Linked DNA regions of Arabidopsis thaliana. The protein of the gene in region 1 purifies or fractionates together with the protein of each later gene. This does not show direct contact. Each region holds a gene or a part of one and is shown in the gene's direction. Other genes may lie near its edges.

Region 1 (6,562 bases):
AATGATATATGAAAATAGCTAAATATTATTGTAAATGCGGATTAAAAATGACTGAAAAGAAGAAAGAGCGTGCTTGGAAACGGAACAAACAACTAGCTAGTATTAAACATATACTTTTTCATGTTATCAGAGTAAGTAGTAAAGTGGAGCGCATAATGAGTGGATGCTTTTTTAAGGTTATGTTACCAATTAAAACTAGTGATTAAATTATGATTATGGAATTATTATATACGAAAACTGAAATTGTCTCATTCGTATGTCATGCTTCTTTGCGCCCCGTGCTCGAGTACCCTATTCATTAATCACTACCCTCTCAGTATTTCATAATTTCTATGATTGCTTTGTTTTCTTTTATTATCCATGTACAATATTTTTTCCTTAATGGGATTATTCCATGTGCAATTTTGTTAACATGTTTATTTGTGTTTATAAGATATTCTTTTGGTAGAAATTCGTCATTCCTTTGCTTTGACATTTTTTCTATTTATATCATTTCCCTATATTTTTCTTATGTGTTACGTAAATGTGATGTTAACATTCGATATGATGAGTCATTGAGATGAAAAACGCAAAATTGTGTAAATTTTCTCTAAGAAACAAATAAAAGAAAATTTGAGTAATTGGAGAGAAGACTGAAAGTTGCGAGTTAAAACAGATCCGGAGCTCCGGAAAGCAAAGCGGATCGGACCACAGCGATGATGTCAGTAAGAGAAACAAGGCCTTGTAGCCCACCGTTCTGGTCCACGACCCAAACTCTGTGTACACGTTTCGTGGTGACCATATGGATCACCTGGGCCAAGGTTGATGTCACGTGACACGTCACGAGCTCCCTCCCTGGTGTTGAGGTAGCAGCGGTGAACAAGAGAGTTCTTGGGATTTTCTCGACGAACTCTAGTGCATTTAGCGGCAACCACGAACGCAATGTGGCTAAATGACATCCCTTCAGATCACTAGCCGAGAATGTCCCCACCACTCTCCGATTTTTCCCCTGCACCAGCAAACACCAAATTAATCAACATTTGATCTTAATAGATACTGATAGATACATGTATAAGTAAAGACACCTACGTCGACGAGCTGTTTATGATCCTCTCCCTCACCAGAGGCTTCGACGATAGGAACCGCATTGAGCATTGCTATACTCATGCATTGTATTGCATCTTTCACTCTAGCCTGGTATTAAACATTACAAGCGTTTAACTTAGGATTTAATGAATAAAGATGAAAATTCTTGACTTGTGAAATTTACCTGGCTAGTGAGGGCTAAAACAGTGTTGTGAATAGCGGAGAGATCAGTGACGGTGTGGGAGAGGATACCATGCAATTGAGAGGATTGGTCGAAGAAGAAAGAGATGAGATCCATCTGACTCAGCATTGCGTAAGCAGAAGCTGACTCTACCAACTCAGGTCCTGTTATATTTTCTGTATTACTGTCCAATGGAACCAATACCCTGTGGATTCCTTTACTCAACATCTCCATACAATCCATGATGCTGCTTTCATCAATGACCATCTTTGATTAGTACTCTATCCGTTCATATATAATGTTAAGATTTTTGACAAGAGAAAAATGTTTTGCATTTTTCTATGAAAAATTTGCATTATAATTTCTAATTTATCATTTAGTTTGAATTATAAAAAATATGAAACTATAAACAATTAATGACTGAAATATGGGTATATATATTAGGTGTTGCAAAAGAATTCTTACTATGTGAGAAAAGTGTACAACATCTAACATTATAAAAGGGAAGGATTAATTATACTGAAAGCAATTTAATTTTACAAATCTTCTATACTATTAACCTGGTATTAGGATTGAGAGACCAGAGGCTAAGACCCTCAGGGCAATGACCAATGATAGAAGAGACAGGGGCAGCCATTTTCTTATCAAGCCCACTCTCGCCGTCATCGCCGGCGATGTGAGCCACAACGTCGAGCATGGTCACCATTCCTATGTACTGTTTTCTTGCACTTCCGCTCTGTTTGTCCAACTCTACTATCATTGATCCCCCGGCTCCCAGCCATTGGCCTGGTTTGGCAGCCACCGGTACAGCTCTAACTCGGTTTGCCACCGGTTTGATACCAAGAATAGTCTTGTTAGTAATTCTTGATACTTAAAACGGTTGACTCCAACCAAAAAAATAACAATTATTTAGCCGTGGTTTACCATAGTGTTCAAGGCGTCCCCTAGAGTGGCATTATCAGGAACTTCGACCAGCCGCCGCTTGTCGATCATCAGATCTTTGACCTTGAACTGCATCAGACGGCTGTACGACTGCATGAAGATTTGTATTTGGGTGATAGTCAAAGTCTCAAAGAAAATGGGACGAGGCTTATGAACTTCTAATCTTTGTTTTGATGCTTTCGTAGTTACTTCATTATTCATATATGTCATGTTACTAGTAAGATGACACGTATTACATGTGTTGCTCCATGGGCATGTGCTTTTCGTATGCACAGACCACGCGTCCGTTTATTCAGATTCTCGTGTTACAACAAAATAATGATTTTAAGGTTCAGAATCAAACATATGAAACTTTTTATCAATTGCTATCTACGGTTTGTTACAAAAACAAATACAGTGCCCAGTTCAAAATACAAATTGAATAATAGCCCAACATATCGTAAATGGGAAAATGGGCTCAGCCCAAATAAAAAAAAAGTAAACGATAAGGAGACGTCGGGTCCCGTTCACGAAGCGGTCGGATCTAGGGCCCAACACAAGACGAATGAAGGGAATATCTCGTGAAAGCAATAAATGCAGAAATCGAGAATCATGAATTTTATTTATTTCGCTCCTCGAGTTATCCCGTGAAAGTCATAAAGACATTGCGAACGTTTTTATGGACCCACCAATTGTTTCTTCAGAATTATACATATACACACTGACAATTTCGAACCTAAACCGCATTCACACAACAACAACAACTAAGAAATGGCACGATATGAATTCTTCCGCCAAATATTCATTGTCTTGTCTATAGTTTCTCCGTTGGTCAGATCTTTCACTGTGATCACCTCCGACTCGACGGCCCCATCTGCTCTGATCGACGGCCCACAAACTGGATTCACGATGACCAATGACGGCGCTCGCACGGAGCCTGACGAGCAAGACGCCGTCTACGACATTATGCGTGCGACCGGCAACGACTGGGCTGCCGCGATTCCAGACGTTTGCCGAGGGAGATGGCACGGGATCGAGTGTATGCCGGACCAGGATAACGTCTACCACGTGGTCTCTCTGTCGTTCGGAGCGCTCTCAGACGACACGGCGTTTCCGACTTGTGATCCACAACGCTCTTACGTCTCTGAGTCCCTCACGAGGCTCAAACACCTCAAAGCCTTGTTCTTCTACCGATGTTTAGGCCGCGCCCCACAGCGCATACCGGCGTTTCTGGGACGCCTCGGCTCGAGTCTGCAAACGCTGGTTCTGAGGGAGAATGGTTTTTTGGGACCTATCCCTGACGAATTGGGCAATCTCACCAATTTGAAAGTTCTTGATTTGCATAAAAATCACCTCAACGGCTCCATTCCCTTGTCGTTCAACCGGTTCTCCGGTTTAAGATCGCTTGATTTGAGTGGTAACCGGTTGACTGGTTCCATTCCCGGTTTTGTTCTTCCGGCGCTGAGCGTTCTGGATTTGAACCAGAATCTTTTAACCGGACCGGTTCCACCCACACTCACAAGCTGTGGATCGTTGATCAAAATCGATCTTAGCCGAAACAGAGTCACTGGTCCTATCCCAGAATCGATTAACCGGCTCAACCAATTAGTGCTTTTGGATTTGAGCTATAACCGGTTATCAGGTCCATTCCCGTCTTCTCTCCAAGGCCTAAACTCTCTTCAAGCTTTAATGCTCAAAGGCAACACAAAATTCTCAACAACGATTCCTGAAAACGCGTTCAAAGGGCTCAAGAACTTGATGATTCTTGTTCTCTCGAATACGAACATCCAGGGCTCGATACCGAAATCATTGACTCGGTTAAACAGTCTTCGGGTCCTTCACCTAGAGGGCAATAATCTGACCGGAGAGATTCCTTTGGAGTTCCGGGACGTGAAGCATCTAAGCGAGCTGAGGCTCAACGATAACAGTCTGACAGGACCAGTACCGTTCGAGAGAGACACAGTGTGGAGGATGAGGAGAAAGCTGAGGCTGTATAACAATGCTGGTTTGTGTGTTAACCGGGACAGTGACTTGGATGATGCATTCGGTTCAAAATCTGGTTCAACTGTAAGATTGTGTGATGCAGAAACGTCGAGACCAGCTCCTTCCGGTACGGTCCAGCACCTATCTAGAGAAGAAGACGGTGCTTTGCCGGACGGAGCTACGGACGTGTCAAGCACTTCCAAGTCTTTGGGGTTCTCCTATCTTTCTGCATTCTTTCTTGTATTCCCTAATTTCATTTTTATGCTAATATCTAGTTAGAGGAGGGATGATAAAACTGCTGTAAATACTTCCCGAGTTTAATAATGTTAGTTAGATGCCTTTTCTGCATTAGTTGGATTGAATATCGCCACCATTTATGGCTACAAAAAAAACTTGTAAGCTCGAACGTGTTCCTTCTGTCTATATACTCTGTTCTTTGATCTCTGTTTTATCTTTCCGGAGATAAGAGACTTGTATTGCTTGTTCTTCCATGTTTTGTACATTTGGCGTTTATTCGAAATGGGAAAAACCTCTTAAAATAGTTTAAATTTGTCGTTTTATTTTCTCTCATCGAAGACGTTAGTTACCAAAATTCCGTTATACACGTACGTATGATTACATCACATTCAAGATTTTGATTATAGTGGCAAACCATCTTTTTAAGATTTAGGGACCTTACTATCTATCTCAGTAAAGCACAAGACAGTACAACATCTTACAAGTCTATACTGCAAAATAAAGCTAAATCACACACACGGTAAGAAAATTGAGTATATCTCAAGTAAATGTGTCCTCGCGATCTCCCTCTGTAATGTCAGCCTCCTCCATGTTGCTGAACTCCAGGAAATGAGTGGGTCGATGCTCCTCGTGATAGAACTCCTTTGGGGATCCGAGTTTGACACTGTATTTCATGCTCAACGTGTGCTTCACTCCAGTGAAGCTATAGTTCCACGGTCCACTCTCAGGAACCTATCATAACATCAGTTACAAAAATCAGATTTCAATGGTTTATATCATCCAAGGACAAAAGCACAATTGCAAACTCTGTTGTCTTACCATGTAAAACCCGAGGAACCGGTCACTCAGCAGCATCTGAACCTTTTCATAATGGGTGGGAAGGTAACCGTGAGGATTGCTGCCATTGTCCTTGTTAAGCCGCCCCCATTCATATCCGGTTTGGGTCAACTTATATGACGTCAAAGAGCAGGAGCCCGGAGTGAAACTGCAGGTCAGGATGATGCATTTTTCTCCATCCCATTGCTTGTTGTTCTCCAGAATACGGGAATGAGAGGTTACATCCTATCAAAGAAAAGATCAGTTAGCAATGAGGTTAACAGAAGGTAAAGATAAATATATATATATATATACCTGTGGTGATAGCTGAGGCAGCTCGTTAGGCTGTGTGTGCAACCATCCCAAGGGCTCAAGATCATTTAGGAAATCATGCTCAGGAAGAGATGACGGCAGGTGAACTAGCTGATGATTTCCCCACTGTGGCACCATCACAACACAACGGATCTCCTTCACCTGGGGATTATCCGGGGGACTAATACCATATAAATACCCAGCAATTTGAGTACGAAGATCCGCAACGCATATGAACTTCTTCAAAATGTTCTTTGGCATGATGTAGGTGTATCCGGTTTCCTGTGACAACAACAGACAGTGTTTAAGGTCGACACCTGAAAGGCTTTTACTTAATTGACAAAGTGAATTGGATTCTAACCTTTATGTCATCTGAGTTCACATATATGTGATTGACTCTAAGGTAAAGATTAGTGGCTGATATTGCACGTACACGCCAATCTGTCTTGGAACCGAATGCAGATTGCTCGTAAGGGCTTGTGGTGGTGACAATGAGCTCATCACCATGAACATTTGTAGTTCTTGTTGTGACTGCAGTAAGCTGGCTGGCTTCCTTTGCCTGCAAATAGGATATAGATTTACAGTGAACAAAGAATAATAGTCACAGTCCACTCTCACAATGTTTGTGTTTGTTAGAAAACCTGATAGAACATAGAAGTAACAGTTACGAGTACCTGTTTCTCAATCTCAGCTATCTGTTGCCTCTGTTGAGAGGGTGGAGTAATCTCAGCTCCAAGAATAATATCTCGGATCTCTGATTGTGTCAGAGCTGAGGTATTCACATTGTTTTTCTTTGCGTAGTCAGAAAGAATAAGATCTCTAAGTGCTACCTCCACCTGAATTTAACATGATCGTGAGTAAGGAAGGACTATTTCAAAAAAAGAGAAGAAAGTAAAAGCTATATATCACATAACTCACTAGTAAATAAAAACAGCAGATATAGAATGTAAAGAGGGATCCTATCAAATAAAAGAATATAGCAAGAAGAAGTACTTGGAAAGTGGCAGAAGAGTTACCTTCATCCATTGATCATCAGTGAGAGAGGGC
Region 2 (9,068 bases), on another chromosome or scaffold:
AACTGTTTTTGGATAGTAATAGTCCTGTGACCTCCCCTCTCACAGTATGGACTGGAGCTGCTTTATCTCAGAGGATTCTAAATCATCACTTCCCGCATCTTCTTCAGATGCTGATCTGTAGACTTCCACCATAGCTTTCCCTTTATCAAGCACTTGAGAAGGAACTGTTTGTAGAAGACTGTCCAGTGCGGTTAACGCTGTTCCAAGCTGTGACTTCATCAATACAACAGTTGCATTTGAATCTTTCCTCGACGCACGTAGAAACAACGAATCCAGTTCTTCCAATGCTCTATAGAAGGAAAAGCCAACATAAATTACACACGCAAAGGTCATCATCATTCATTCAAACATTGTCGGTACCTTAAACATCGATCAACATCATCAGTGGCGGTTTTGGAGAAACCATCATCTGAAGCATACTGAGCAACCTGAAAGAGTTTGCATTACACATTTCATCATCAAACAGAAACCAAATGAGTGACATCAAGTGAGCTTTAAAAACTTACAGCTCGAATGTTTACACGAAGAGAGCTAGCAGGACCAGACCGCAATTGGCGTCTACACGCCTCAAATTCAGGTTTCTCCACATTCAAAAATCCCTCTCCAACATCATAAATAAACATGAGTGTAAGTTTTATATAGCAAGAGTTTTAAGAACAAATGTGTAACAAAAAAACAGAGAAATTTTACCAAGATCCTGGATTTGTAACTGAGCTAGAATCACTGGTGGTACATATGCTTCAAGTGGATCAAGTTTCTTCCTATTCAATAACTGGTTTTAAGTTTTAGATAATTCACCAAACATTTCAAAATCTAACTTCAGAATTCAAAGGAATAAGCATCGGAGACGATTTAATGTTACCTCTTGACGTATTTATCCAATTTATCCATTAAGCCACCAGCCATAGCATCTGATCATCATCATCAACATATAAATAACCAAATTTGAAATGAACAAAAGTCGAATTGGTGATATTGAAAATCGAGTTCGTGAAATTGAGAATCGGATTGGTGAATTTGAAGAGAGATGCGTGTACCGTTAGGGAGGAGGAGGAGACGGGAGAGAAAAAAGGAGACGGAGATAACTCGCCGGCTCTGTTTCCATGGCGGAGGTGATAATGTAGCTGCGCACGTTAGCTTTTTGTGGTTTGAGTTGGAGAACAGTGGGAGGCTCACGGTAGCGTGGAGTGACGACATTGGGGATAACACCAGAGGCGTCTTATCTCCGTTGGACAAATTATTATTATGGCTATGAACATTCAACATATAATTTAATTAGAAATTTGCGGATGAAAAAGAGGTAAACAATTGCAGAAATGGTTAAAAATATTAACGTTGTACAGCAAATGATAATAAAAAGTGTAACGTACAGTGTGTAAGGAATGGAAAAATAATAATTTGGGTTAAAATAAATATGTAGTTTTCTAACTATATAGTACTTTTTGAGAAAAGATAATATTATGTGTATTTTTATTGAAACAAATAAATGATTTAACAAAAAAAAAAAGAGAAGTTAAAATGAAAAGGAATTATTATTTTTTAAGTTCTTCCTTCTTTTGTTGGGCCTGTGACCCTTTTAGTTTTAGTCCACTTCGTTCTCAAAGCTTCAAAATATTAATTTTGTGACAAACCGACCGGAGCCAACCAAACCGGTTAACATCCTAAAACCAATCATATTTTATTAAGTTTTGTGTTGATGCTAAACCAAAAATCATTGGCATGCATATTTCTAAATTTAGTAATAAACAAAAACACTTAGAAATCACACGTTCACTATACTAAAAAACGTTGACAAAAACACAACAACTATACTAATAATTAAAGAAGAGAAAACTGAACCAAACTTTTTGTAAACTCCTGAATTTAAATTAGTAATTGAAGTAAGAAGATGAAGAAGAACATGTTAAGCAAACAAAAAAATTACACTAAAATCATATAAAAATACATAATTACAAAAGTACCCATAAGATGGATTTATTGATATGGGTCATCTGTGAAACAAGCCACAGAGAGACAAAGACTCGTAAGTATTGGGCAACGAAAGCGACCTCCTTTATTCACCACTGCCATTAACATGTTCTTCTTCTCCTTCTTCTTCTACATTTTATGACCGTTTTACCCTTCAAGAGAGAGAAACAAAATCACTCCCTCTCACTCACTCTATCTCTCTCTTCTGCAAAGCTTCAGAACTCTGGCAGAGAGATAAAAGATGATGGGGTTTTTAACTTTATCCTCCCCAAATAATTCTTCTTCCCTTCATCTCTCTCTCTTACACAACAGGTCCCTACATTTGTACAATCTCCTCTCTTTAAAGACTCTCTCTCTTTCTCTCTCCATCTCTATCTTACTCTGTATTTCTGTCGTCTGAGCACTCAATGAAACCACTGTAAATTTCCGCCAGAATTTGATGTGATGGAACGATAAAAATCATTTTTTCTCGGTTAAAGTAAAAAAACAAAAACAAATTTCTGTAGAAATCATAATAAAAGAAAGAAAAAAAATCTAATGTCGGTACATAATACGGTTCTCTTCTTCTTCTCTATCCTCTGTTTCTTCTTCATGGAGACTTGAAAGCTTTTAAAGTATATCTAAAAACGCAGTCGTTTTAAGACTGTGTGTGAGAAATGGCTCTGTTTAGAGATATTGTTCTTCTTGGGTTTCTCTTCTGCTTGAGCTTAGTAGCTACTGTGACTTCAGAGGAGGGTCAGTTATTATACTGATGCATGCTTCTTCAAGTTCAAGATTTTCGTCTTTTTGTTTTATATTAGTGAAAAAAACTTAAAGATGAGATTTTTATATGATTTTTGAAGTTTCATTTGGTGAAAATGAGATCTGGGTACTTGTTATTTTCTATTTTTGCTTTTTGTAATGGTTTTTTTTTACTTGGTGGGTCTTCTATAGAATCAAAAGAAGCTTTGAATAAATTAGGGTTTGAGTTTTATTTTGTTTTCTTGGAAGTTGAATTTTTAATCTTCTCAAGAACTGACAAATATTTTTTTTTGTTTTTGTGCGTGTGTGTTAATAAAATATCCTTAAAACAAAATTAAAGGAGCAACGTTGCTGGAGATTAAGAAGTCATTCAAAGATGTGAACAATGTTCTTTATGACTGGACAACTTCACCTTCTTCGGATTATTGTGTCTGGAGAGGTGTGTCTTGTGAAAATGTCACCTTCAATGTTGTTGCTCTGTAAGTTTCTTCATTCCTTTAGATTACTATTACAGTGGTTTTTGGTGTTCTTGTGGGAAAAAGTTGTAATTTGTTTTGTGTGTGTTTTCTATGTTTTGTAGTAATTTGTCAGATTTGAATCTTGATGGAGAAATCTCACCTGCTATTGGAGATCTCAAGAGTCTCTTGTCAATGTAACTGTTTCAACATTCACTGTAGCATGAAATAAAGTATCTTACTTTAATTCTATTCCACTCTCTGAGTTGTGACTTTTGTCTTCTGTTTTTTTCTAATGTAGTGATCTGCGAGGTAATCGCTTGTCTGGACAAATCCCTGATGAGATTGGTGACTGTTCTTCTTTGCAAAACTTGTAAGAACAGTGATTGGTGTTATTCTACCATTAAACTTTTGTTCATAGAGGTTTTATTTGATGAAGTGTGTTCATGTTGTTTTTTATTCAGAGACTTATCCTTCAATGAATTAAGTGGTGACATACCGTTTTCGATTTCGAAGTTGAAGCAACTTGAGCAGCTGTAAGTAGCTAGTTATTCTGCTACTAGTCTTCATATGTCATTGCTAAAAATATACTCACCATGTGGAATATGGATTTTTACTTTGTCCAGGATTCTGAAGAATAACCAATTGATAGGACCGATCCCTTCAACACTTTCACAGATTCCAAACCTGAAAATTCTGTATGTTCCCCATGATTCTTACATGTCTTACTACTTTTAGCTATATAGGTGATCATACATGTGTAATTTCAATTGCAGGGACTTGGCACAGAATAAACTCAGTGGTGAGATACCAAGACTTATTTACTGGAATGAAGTTCTTCAGTATCTGTAAGTGTCAATGTTTTTTGAAGTCTGTCAATGTCTCTTCATTACCCGGTGATAATTGTTGTACTATGATGAGCAGTGGGTTGCGAGGAAACAACTTAGTCGGTAACATTTCTCCAGATTTGTGTCAACTGACTGGTCTTTGGTATTTGTGAGTCTTCTTGCACATCTGAATAGTATGATGAGTTCTTTTGTAAATATCAAATATCTGACTTTGTTTTGATATTGAATCAGTGACGTAAGAAACAACAGTTTGACTGGTAGTATACCTGAGACGATAGGAAATTGCACTGCCTTCCAGGTTTTGTATGTGCCTCTTTCTCTACTTCTAAACATCATTACTGTAATTTGGGTTACTTAAGAAAATCTACTTAACTGGTTTGCTTATTACGAACTCAGGGACTTGTCCTACAATCAGCTAACTGGTGAGATCCCTTTTGACATCGGCTTCCTGCAAGTTGCAACATTGTTAGTTCTCACCTCTACTAATCTTTTGCTTTAAATTTTGGCTAGCCTTTGTTTTCTTTTAAAGAAGATCATTTTCTTATCTTAGATCATTGCAAGGCAATCAACTCTCTGGGAAGATTCCATCAGTGATTGGTCTCATGCAAGCCCTTGCAGTCTTGTAAGTACTTTTCTTCTAATCAATGAAGCTACTTATAACATTTTCATGAACTTAGGTTATATGTTTTCTTTTACAGAGATCTAAGTGGCAACTTGTTGAGTGGATCTATTCCTCCGATTCTCGGAAATCTTACTTTCACCGAGAAATTGTAATTCTTTACCTGTTTGTTTTCAGTTTGGAGTCAAATGTCATACCATGTTAATGATAGTGATTTATCTTTTTGGCTTTATCTCTAGGTATTTGCACAGTAACAAGCTGACTGGTTCAATTCCACCTGAGCTTGGAAACATGTCAAAACTCCATTACCTGTATGACCAACCTTCTCTTCACTTCTCTTTTTGCATACAGTCACTACTAAGTTGTGTTTCCTTATCAACTATTTGTAAAATATTCATAGGGAACTCAATGATAATCATCTCACGGGTCATATACCACCAGAGCTTGGGAAGCTTACTGACTTGTTTGATCTGTAAGTAGTTCTTCCTATGCTTGACATGTTTTGATGTTCTTATGCTTATATGAACTATGTACATATAGGAATGTGGCCAACAATGATCTGGAAGGACCTATACCTGATCATCTGAGCTCTTGCACAAATCTAAACAGCTTGTATGTATCTCTTTCTCTGAAAACTTCTCACTTGAATGTTCAAGATTGGTGCTTTATATGATTTTGTGTCTCATTAATGTAATGTAGAAATGTTCATGGGAACAAGTTTAGTGGCACTATACCCCGAGCATTTCAAAAGCTAGAAAGTATGACTTACCTGTAAGTATCGACGCTGAGAATTTCTCTAATCTTATATAATATATAGTTCCACAGCGTTTGTTTTTTCGAATTTCAAGTCATTAACTACTGAGTTTTTGGTTGCCTTTGATTTATCGGTTCAACCAGTAATCTGTCCAGCAACAATATCAAAGGTCCAATCCCGGTTGAGCTATCTCGTATCGGTAACTTAGATACATTGTAAGTGTTTCTTGTTTTCTGTGAAGTATACATCATTATATGTGCCTTGTCTCACATTTATTAAATTTAATGACATTTGAAGGGATCTTTCCAACAACAAGATAAATGGAATCATTCCTTCTTCCCTTGGTGATTTGGAGCATCTTCTCAAGATGTGAGCATCCATAAGACCTCCAGTTTTATTGTTTATTTCTAGCAAAAGATGAAAATGGTTTGTGAACTCTTGCATTCTTGTTATAGGAACTTGAGTAGAAATCATATAACTGGTGTAGTTCCAGGCGACTTTGGAAATCTAAGAAGCATCATGGAAATGTAAGAAGTTAACTTCTATCTGCTTGGTTAGAGTTTTTTTCATTTATCTCAATTACTGTTCTGAATTTGTGTGTTTGTGGTTGCAGAGATCTTTCAAATAATGATATCTCTGGCCCAATTCCAGAAGAGCTTAACCAATTACAGAACATAATTTTGCTGTAAGCAATCTTCCTCTTATCCCTTCCAAGCTGTTAAGAAATTGTTTTTGTAGAATGAAACTAAAACTCTGTATACACAATAATGAGGTCACTATAGTGTGATCCAGGAACATGTATTGGGTTGGTGATCTATCTAATGTTGTGTTTCTTAAAATTGCTTGCAGGAGACTGGAAAATAATAACCTGACTGGTAATGTTGGTTCATTAGCCAACTGTCTCAGTCTCACTGTATTGTAAGTAGGCACCTTTGGTTCTGAAACATTTTTTGTCCCTCTTTGTGCATCTTTTGCTAAGAATATAACCCTGCAATCTTCACTAACTCTTATAGGAATGTATCTCATAACAACCTCGTAGGTGATATCCCTAAGAACAATAACTTCTCAAGATTTTCACCAGACAGGTATGGTAATTTAGCAGGTTTTGGTATTGTGCATTTTGTTTTGTTTGCTAATATCTATGTTTATGTTTTTGGATAAAGCTTCATTGGCAATCCTGGTCTTTGCGGTAGTTGGCTAAACTCACCGTGTCATGATTCTCGTCGAACTGTACGAGGTGATTACATTCTTCTAAAAGCTTCCATTCACAAAACCTAAGATAATTAAAGCTCATGTTTCTATCCATGTTTTGTCTGCAGTGTCAATCTCTAGAGCAGCTATTCTTGGAATAGCTATTGGGGGACTTGTGATCCTTCTCATGGTCTTAATAGCAGCTTGCCGACCGCATAATCCTCCTCCTTTTCTTGATGGATCACTTGACAAACCAGGTCTACTCTCCAAACCACTTTACGAATGTTCTTCACCTACAATGTAATCCAATAGTTAATCCTTAAATTTCCTGGTGACATCAGTAACTTATTCGACACCGAAGCTCGTCATCCTTCATATGAACATGGCACTCCACGTTTACGAGGATATCATGAGAATGACAGAGAATCTAAGTGAGAAGTATATCATTGGGCACGGAGCATCAAGCACTGTATACAAATGTGTTTTGAAGAATTGTAAACCGGTTGCGATTAAGCGGCTTTACTCTCACAACCCACAGTCAATGAAACAGTTTGAAACAGAACTCGAGATGCTAAGTAGCATCAAGCACAGAAATCTTGTGAGCCTACAAGCTTATTCCCTCTCTCACTTGGGGAGTCTTCTGTTCTATGACTATTTGGAAAATGGTAGCCTCTGGGATCTTCTTCATGGTAAGTCTCATCGCCAAACATAGAAAATTATTTGAATCTTCTGTGACATAACAACTTGCTTGTGTGTTTTGTAAAGGCCCTACGAAGAAAAAGACTCTTGATTGGGACACACGGCTTAAGATAGCATATGGTGCAGCACAAGGTTTAGCTTATCTACACCATGACTGTAGTCCAAGGATCATTCACAGAGACGTGAAGTCGTCCAACATTCTCTTGGACAAAGACTTAGAGGCTCGTTTGACAGATTTTGGAATAGCGAAAAGCTTGTGTGTGTCAAAGTCACATACTTCAACTTACGTGATGGGCACGATAGGTTACATAGACCCCGAGTATGCTCGCACTTCACGGCTCACTGAGAAATCCGATGTCTACAGTTATGGAATAGTCCTTCTTGAGTTGTTAACCCGAAGGAAAGCCGTTGATGACGAATCCAATCTCCACCATCTGGTTTGTTCTTTCTTGCCTATCTCTCTCAGCTGCTCTGTTTAGGTCAAGTCCGTAATCTTGTTTTCATTGATTCACTTACATCAGATAATGTCAAAGACGGGGAACAATGAAGTGATGGAAATGGCAGATCCAGACATCACATCGACGTGTAAAGATCTCGGTGTGGTGAAGAAAGTTTTCCAACTGGCACTCCTATGCACCAAAAGACAGCCGAATGATCGACCCACAATGCACCAGGTGACTCGTGTTCTCGGCAGTTTTATGCTATCGGAACAACCACCTGCTGCGACTGACACGTCAGCGACGCTGGCTGGTTCGTGCTACGTCGATGAGTATGCAAATCTCAAGACTCCTCATTCTGTCAATTGCTCTTCCATGAGTGCTTCTGATGCTCAACTGTTTCTTCGGTTTGGACAAGTTATTTCTCAGAACAGTGAGTAGTTTTTCGTTAGGAGGAGAATCTTTAAAACGGTATCTTTTCGTTGCGTTAAGCTGTTAGAAAAATTAATGTCTCATGTAAAGTATTATGCACTGCCTTATTATTATTAGACAAGTGTGTGGTGTGAATATGTCTTCAGACTGGCACTTAGACTTCCTATAAGTTCTTGCCTATCTAAGTTTTTCTAAATTGGGTTATTCTTGTAACATATCTTAGATCTAGTACTCAACACCACGTCACCACCACAAAAGATTTCTTATGCTCAAAAACATATACATAGAAAGAACCTTCTAAACTACGAGAAACGTTTTGCTATGTAGTGTTATATGTCAACCACGTCTATGAGAGTGCAAACGATAGGTTAATAAGTTTTCTCACTTGGCAATAAAAATGATAAACAAATATATTGTCTGATTAATTTATTTTATATAGTTTTTTTATAATTTCTTATATTAATTCGAACTCATACAGCGCGTGAGACTTTCTAGTTTAGTATAAAGTACGTATTTTTGCAAAATCAAAATCGTAAATACATACATTTTAAAATGTTAAAAAAGATAAATCCGTACACCATTTAAAAATGGCATTTTCCTAAGATTTTTTTCAAAAAAGGCATTTTAGACAAGAACTAATTACTACAACTAAAATCTACTAACTTTGGTTTTTATGTATACATTTACGAGAGTCTACACAAAAAAAATACATAAAAGAAGAAGTAGTAAATAATTAAAACGTAAAAAAAAAGACTTTTCAAGAAGGCAGAAGAGTAGCACTGTTGTGCGATTGTAAAATCGTCTTGATTGTTGTTTATCCCACTGATAAGCCTACCCTTTTCAAAACTTGTTCTAAGTTTAAATTCTATTTTTGAACATGACATACAGTATAAGGCTTTTTAAAGATATCATCTTGATTTTGTT

The links. Proteins that work in one complex are often made in the same cells at the same time.
Region 2: the proteins of TMM (region 1) and ER purify together in Arabidopsis thaliana (affinity purification with western blotting, with the first as the bait; one study listed by BioGRID). This does not show direct contact.

The regions. Positions count from the first base shown.
Region 1 is NC_003070.9:30,125,940-30,132,501, reverse strand, and holds TMM (Leucine-rich repeat (LRR) family protein), read left to right. Parts: upstream 1-2,852; 5' UTR 2,853-2,938; coding exon 2,939-4,429; 3' UTR 4,430-4,683; downstream 4,684-6,562. Other genes in the region: CBSX4 (Cystathionine beta-synthase (CBS) family protein), read right to left, coding at 647-988, 1,069-1,173, 1,250-1,493, 1,807-2,075, 2,171-2,284; SUS2 (Pre-mRNA-processing-splicing factor), read right to left, coding at 4,928-5,119, 5,207-5,449, 5,519-5,797, 5,877-6,074, 6,190-6,351, 6,532-6,562. UniProt on the Arabidopsis thaliana protein: Promotes cell fate progression in stomatal development. In leaves, needed to correctly orient spacing divisions, to limit the number of asymmetric divisions in neighbor cells, and to promote the asymmetric (amplifying) divisions of meristemoids.
Region 2 is NC_003071.7:11,207,452-11,216,519, reverse strand, and holds ER (Leucine-rich receptor-like protein kinase family protein), read left to right. Parts: upstream 1-1,857; 5' UTR 1,858-2,624; coding exon 2,625-2,703; intron 2,704-3,049; coding exon 3,050-3,188; intron 3,189-3,289; coding exon 3,290-3,361; intron 3,362-3,465; coding exon 3,466-3,537; intron 3,538-3,628; coding exon 3,629-3,700; intron 3,701-3,790; coding exon 3,791-3,862; intron 3,863-3,940; coding exon 3,941-4,012; intron 4,013-4,088; coding exon 4,089-4,160; intron 4,161-4,243; coding exon 4,244-4,315; intron 4,316-4,408; coding exon 4,409-4,477; intron 4,478-4,562; coding exon 4,563-4,634; intron 4,635-4,710; coding exon 4,711-4,782; intron 4,783-4,870; coding exon 4,871-4,942; intron 4,943-5,031; coding exon 5,032-5,103; intron 5,104-5,171; coding exon 5,172-5,243; intron 5,244-5,330; coding exon 5,331-5,402; intron 5,403-5,528; coding exon 5,529-5,600; intron 5,601-5,682; coding exon 5,683-5,754; intron 5,755-5,840; coding exon 5,841-5,912; intron 5,913-5,998; and 17 more. Other genes in the region: AT2G26340 (uncharacterized protein), read right to left, coding at 44-289, 361-419, 507-601, 691-761, 863-911, 1,038-1,266. UniProt on the Arabidopsis thaliana protein: Receptor kinase that, together with ERL1 and ERL2, regulates aerial architecture, including inflorescence (e.g. shoot apical meristem-originating organ shape, elongation of the internode and pedicels, and adaxial-abaxial polarity), and stomatal patterning (e.g. density and clustering), probably by tuning cell division and expansion.